Kluyveromyces lactis: one gene and its partner. Each later gene encodes a partner of the first gene's protein in a complex. Links are inferred from orthologs where the notes say so. Each region holds a gene or a part of one and is shown on either strand. Other genes may lie near its edges. The genes, in order: CAC2 and ASF1.

Region 1 (3,516 bases):
GAAAGATATCTCTCGGGTAGAGATATGCCATTCCCACCAGATTACGTCCCAGAATCTGAAACAGGTGGCAATTCTTCCAATGGTCAAAATCAATCGACCGGAAGCTCTGTAACTACAGGAAACAATACAAACAACAATAGCACATCTACAGATCCACGGAAAAGATCCAACATTAAAGCTGACAATCTGCTAAAAAAATTCAACGTGGATCCACAAGAAGATCTTTCAAACTTGAATCCCAACGATCTTTCCATAGAAGAAAGAAAGAGATTAATGGTATGGCAGGCAAGAAAGAGTATGGAACTAAAGGTGGAAAACAGTGAATACCTACAGTCTCTACTGAAATGATAGGTACAATTGTGTAGATATCTATAAATCGTACATATACCAGTAAATGAAATCCATTCTCAATTACATGCTAGAGTGTGTCCTTTACAGCTAGATGTCTTTCCAGAGAGAAATGTTGATCACGTGACTAACCATTTTTTTGCATTTCCTATTTTGTTTCTATATTGTTTCCCAGACCTTTCTGTTTCTACCTCCTAGAACTGCCAACACCCTGATTCTTGTCACGGGCTTGGCAATAAGGCAATCGGCTGGTGTCTCGAATCTTAACTCGGCGATTATTACTTACTACTATACACAGTAATTATTGCGTAGAGAACAGTTCAAAGTCACGTGTTATTCCGCCATCTCCCTCTCTATAAACTAATCTAGTTCTATTTAGGTTGATCTGATGTGACGAGAGTAGGTTGAACCCTGCGTTTGAGCTTCTCCTTTCCAACTGTGGTTGCAGCTTCTGAGACAAGCTGCGAGATCGATCTTTTAGCTGGTGAAGGGTTTGGAGTTTCGGCGGCACCGGTACTAAGATTTACGATACTAGCCTTTTGTGATGATTCTGGTTGTGATTGTGATTGCGATTGTGATTCGAGTTCCTTCGTCAAGATTGGTATAGATTGATCTTTCAAAGGTGTGCCAAAATCATTGTCTGTGAAGTGAATATATGAGCAGAACCCGTCTGTGCTTGATATCATTAGTAATGTTCCGTCTTGGCTCCACGCAAGATCTGTTATGGGGGTATAATGCAAATTTCCTGCGATCGCTATAGGACTGGTATTTTGTGTGTCGTACACCAGCACTTCATTCGTAGTTGCTACAGCGAATACCAGTGTATAAGGTGCTTTCACCCATTCAGACGCGGTTTCGTACATGATAGGATTAAACTTGACCACTAATGCCGGTTTTTGTAGAAAGGGTAGTGAAAACACGGGTTTGTTTGAATTTGAAGTTAGAGAAGCCCTTGTGTAAATATATACGGCATTCGCGTACTCTGGGTTATTATTTGAGGCATCCGTTTGTTCATCATTTCTGAAGACCCCAGCTGGTACACATAAGAGACTGCCGCATGGTGACATGGACAGCCTTCTGAAAAATGACGGAAGGGTTTCGTTATGGAATAAGAAAGTCACCTTCGACTTATCAAAATCGAGTTCTTTTTCACCAGGATTTTTCCTCCTTGGTAGTTCTGATTTTAATATTTTATTCACTAATTGTAAGCCCTTTACTTCGTTGTCCTCATAAATCATCTTACAAATCGCCAATGATCTGTCTGCAGATTGCGATACGATAAATTCTCCCTGAGGGTCCCATACAATCCCTTGCACGTAATGATTATGCTCCGTTATATGTCCTACCACTTTTCCCTGATCCACATTGAACACTCGTACGGTGTTATCCAAAGATGCAATAGCTATGCACGTTCCCTGAGGGTTCCATGAAATATCATAAATCTCGGCATTCGAGGCTGACCCTGACCTTAATCGCTTCCATACAGCCCACGATTCCTTAAAATCTTGGAATTCATCATCATCTACACCAAATTCCTTTACCATAGTCTCGTTCTTCTTCCATAGTAACAATAACCCATCGTCTCCCGCCGTGGCTAACGTGTCACCTTGCTTATTGAATCGACAAACGTTGACAGCTTGTTCGTGCTGCGTCAACGACGAAAGAAAATCAATTGTCTCTATCTTCCCATCATTTTCGCTCTCATTCAATTGCCAGACCCTGATTTTATTGTCACCTCCCGAAGTGAACAACCGTCTAGTGTTCTGGTTAGTCTCTGATAAGGGTTGAAAACATAACGAGTATATCGGATGAGAGTCATGCCAATATATCTGTAAACTCTCGGATTGTACCATTTTTTCCACTTTCTCTACTCGAACTGAGATAAATTGAACTAGTCCTATCTTATGAGCTCAGAATTACTCTACTAGTGCGTTAACAAATTTCGTTATAACTCTTTAGATCAACGTTACCTTTCCCTTCAATGCCTGATATTCTTTTTTTTTCCAGATTGTTTACGTGTATCGTCTTTTACTGAGGAATTCGATTTCTTAAGGAAAGAATATCAGCGATACAGCAGCAAATTGGATATTTAAATGAATATATACATTGCATGATGGGAACCTTATGCCATTAGAAATATTCCAACACTGAATAAAGGTAGTGAACACGACATACAACCCCCTTCCGCCTGTCTTTTCTCTTTTTTTCAATATAATAGCCCTATAGTAGACTGAAATAACAGTTTTTTTCAATATAAATTCAGTCAGTTTGAAAAAATTTTCAGATCTGTCACCATTACTTTAGTCATAACTCAGGCTCGAGCTGTCTGAAACTGTACTCACAGATCAGATCAGATCAACTGTTGCATCTATTGCAACATTTTATACTTGGGAAGTTTGTAGTGGTATCAGCAGATACCAATGCGTTGAGATTCAGGAGAATTTTACTCAGCGCATCAGTCAAATTCCCAGTAAACTTTTCTTTCAATAGACTACTGGAGCCGTTATTGTGCTTAAATGAACTGCTAACTGGAGAGGTGTGGTACTTCGGGTGTGCACCAATGAAATGTGCATCTGAGGGTCCTTTGAAATACAAGGAACATCCTCTTGGAGTCTTTGTTTACAATTATTTCAATTTATGATAGATCTGTTCGTGAGAACCAGTTCTATACCCTTTGGATTGGAATACAAATGAAGTTCCCCACAATTTTATATTTAGTTTAAAATTATTTATTATAGCCTTGGGTTTATGTTTGTATGTATGTTCTTGTTCTTTTTGTCCTTGTCGTTAACCAGATCTAGTGTCTGACGTCTTGTTTCTAGTACTTATTCAACGTCGCATGCTGTCTTTGCCAGATAATGGTATTTTGGAATAGCTATTGCTGAGAAACTGGGTAGTGAGTGGTTTATTTCAGCAAGAGACCCCCTGTTGTTGATGTGGTCCATCACACTTTGCATATCTTCATCTGAGTAGTCCGAAGTGAACAATATATGGGTTCCCGGTTGTTGGGTCGAGCCGACGGAAAATGCCAATCTTGATGATTCCAAAGAGATTGCTTCACGGATGGACCAGTCTATGACTTTGTTGGGACAGAAGCATGTAGCATCACCAATCAGTTTCCTAAAATCTTCTGTAGACGCTTCTGGTGTCACGGAGTTGTGATTTTGG
Region 2 (3,018 bases), about 350 kb from region 1:
ACAATGCTGGCTAAAGGACCCATCCATAGTCCAAATATACAGGGATTGAACTGCTGTGAAACTGCTATTTTAGAGAGATACCACCTTATCAACTGCTACTTTTGGAGGGTTTACTGTTTTCCCAGCCGGATTGACGATAAAAACGGTAGGATTTTCTCTTTTCGGTATGGGGAACGAAAAATGTACTTTTTCAGAAATTACGGGCGTGTGGCGTAGTTGGTAGCGCGCTCCCTTAGCATGGGAGAGGTCTTCGGTTCGACTCCGGACTCGTCCATTTTCTTTTTTGTCTTGAACGACAACATTGCATTCGAAGCGTATAAAGACCTTCCCTCCAAGCTAGTAGTTGATGCAGTCTTGATTTTTTGGACGCTTCATCGACGTGAGGAAGAGTACCGGTTTGTGTTGGTCAGCAATGTTACAAACGGGATTGAAACGATACTTATGAAAGGTATATAAAAGTGCGTTAATTTGGGAGGCCGCCGCGGGAGGCCAGGACGTGGAAACCGTTACTATTATTTGTGTTGGGTAGTATCCTGCGGCGTAGGCAAATCTGCATCATTCTCACTATCACTTTCTTTTTCTAAGTCTATCTCTTCCGCTTCTTCCTCGTCTTCCTCGTCTTCTTCAGGTCCCAAAGATTCCGCTTGCGATTCACCCTCGTCGTTCTTAACGTCAGAAGCAGTAGATTTCTTTGGATCCCTTTTCAGTTTCTTCTTTTCAGGAGCAGTTTCCTCACCTTCACCATCATCTACATCGTCTTCTTCTGCAAGATCTTCTTCAGCGTCCTCATCTGCCTCTTCATCCTCATCCTCATCCTCCTCCTCTTCTTCCTCTTCCTCAGGCTCTTCTTGTTCCGGAGGATAGAACTCTTCTTCACCCTCATTATCCCAAACGATATTAAACCTAGTAACTCTTGGTTTCTCAGCAAGGATATTTCTCACCACATGATCAATAGGCACTTTCTGAGGTGGGTTCTCTCTCAATTCTTCCAAATCGTATTCGTTGTTTACGTAGTACCCAACCCTTACAAACTCTTTACCATTATAAGAGCACGATAGTAAAATCACAGTAACACTGACCAATTCACTAGCAGGAATCAGATCTGGTGAAGGTGCATCTGCCACGAATTTGAACTTGTTGATACCAACGGGTATAGGACCCACCAGGATAGAATCCAATTCTTGATCATGGTCAAGTGATCTAGAAGAACCAACATACGTCAATTTCCATTCCAAATCGTGTTTTAATGGCTCAAGACATTCAAAAGTGATTTCAAATTCATAAGGGTCTGTGAACTTGGCTGGATTGTTCAATACCTTGATTCCTAAAAGTGATACAATAGACATGACCGAAAAACCGCTGTAACTAATATAATGATCCCTACAGTAACTCTCCCGATGCCTTGATACGTAGTCACTGGATTAACAAAGCTTGTTCTTAGAGCAATGCTTTTGTTAAGGTTATGTGATGTGATGTATAATCTTTTTTTCTATCTTTATATTGAATAGTTGAAAAGTTTAAAAGAAAGCGCGTCGCGTGAAGTTTTCAATCAGACAAAGAAAAAGACCGGTAGGAGAGAACGTTGAATCAACAAGGGCTGCTGTAGGTTGATAACACTCTAACAACAGTAGCTCGATAATAATACGATCAAAAGTTTTATTGAATGAAACAAAAAAAAAAAAAGAGATATAGAAGTGAATATACATACCTTATGTAAAATTGAAGTTCAAGGTGAAGGAAGATGCAATGTAGAGGGGAAGCCGCAGCACGGCCATTTCCCCTTCTTTTTTTTTTGTTACACCGTCAACGATGTATAAGTATTAGATTCTTGTACGAATTCTTGCGACAAAGGTCTTCCATTATTGAGCGAGCCATACGATAGCACGGCCGCAGAGGAAGTAGACGATGATGGTGAATGAGAGCCATCCAATTCAGAGAGAAACTTCGAATCGTGAACCAAAGATTCTTCAAAGTAGTAGATGGATGCAGAAATGCGTACCACTCCGATGGTTAGCACTATGAAACCGAACACAAGCCCTGTGTATAAAATCTCGGCTGTATGCGGTACCAATGAATCGTGATAGAACATTGTACTGTTCAAGATTGTAGTCAAATTATAGATGGAGAACACAAACGGATAAAGGATCGATGTAGAAAGATGAGAAAGCCCTGCGTTCAACAAATACAACTGAGTCAACGAGAAAGTTACCAATACCAAAACGAGCAAGACCATATGTAAAGAGATGGACCATTCAGTAACGATAACGTTCGACACGCATTTGGCAATGAGTAAAGCATGAGCTGACCATATACCACTAGCAAATACAAGCGAAAACCCTTTGACACGTTTCCCGACACCGAAAACACCCACCACAATAGACATGATAGCTAAAGCGTTGGTACCGACAAAATAACGAATAAATTTTTCACTTTGAGCCAATTCGCACAACTCTTCAAACGTATGCGTCAAAGGAGTGTTTATGAACATACATGACATTGAAGCCATGATGGTACCACCAGCACAAACAAAACCAGTGGGAATCAGGGGGAACGGTTCTCGTAGAAGCATATGGGAAAATAAAGAGTTGAAAACCAGGCCAGATGCCTGTAAGGGAGCCAATACGATCAAGGGCAAAGTAGCTATTTGAATGACACAACCGAATAAATTAGCCAAAAGGAAAAGCGAAAACCCCAATTGCCATCTCTTATTCCTATAAACGATTGATCTAGGTGGTACCTTCAGTTCAGAATGAAGGGAAAGAAGTTCCGAATTATTGTAGTGGAACATTTCAATACATTCAGCTTTCCGTTGGAAAACGAGTCCTAATGCCTGTAAGGCATTAGCCACGATAGCAGCCACGACTCCTAGCAGAACCACGGGGGGCATCTTGTAACCTGGCGAAGAGAAGAGAAGACAATATACCTTGGGGATGAAATGGTATATGGTATAATATGGGATATTAAATGTGTGTTCTGTATGGTTTGGTTCAGTACTTTTGTACTTGATCTGGAACGAGA

The links.
Region 2: the proteins of CAC2 (region 1) and ASF1 are in contact, whole or in part, in a crystal structure (PDB 2Z3F), measured with the Schizosaccharomyces pombe proteins. The link is inferred for Kluyveromyces lactis from reciprocal best matches to the Schizosaccharomyces pombe genes pcf2 and asf1. Residues at the interface, in NP_594450.1 of Schizosaccharomyces pombe: Lys503, Arg504, Ile505, Ala506, Pro507, Thr508, Pro509, Val510, Tyr511; in NP_588267.1 of Schizosaccharomyces pombe: Phe28, Asp37, Leu60, Leu61, Val62, Gly63, Pro64, Ile65, Pro66, Gly68, Ile69, Asn70, Lys71, Phe72, Val73.

Annotation. Positions count from the first base shown.
Region 1 is NC_006041.1:982,354-985,869, reverse strand, and holds CAC2 (Cac2p), read right to left. Parts: upstream 2,202-3,516; coding exon 720-2,201; downstream 1-719. Other genes in the region: CUE1 (Cue1p), read left to right, coding at 1-348; KLLA0_E11155g (HAD domain phosphoesterase family swiss army knife RNA repair protein), read right to left, coding at 3,174-3,516. UniProt on the Schizosaccharomyces pombe protein: Acts as a component of the histone chaperone complex chromatin assembly factor 1 (CAF-1), which assembles histone octamers onto DNA during replication and repair.
Region 2 is NC_006041.1:1,330,583-1,333,600, forward strand, and holds ASF1 (nucleosome assembly factor ASF1), read right to left. Parts: upstream 1,347-3,018; coding exon 513-1,346; downstream 1-512. Other genes in the region: KLLA0_E14917g (uncharacterized protein), read right to left, coding at 1,796-2,887. UniProt on the Schizosaccharomyces pombe protein: Histone chaperone that facilitates histone deposition and histone exchange and removal during nucleosome assembly and disassembly.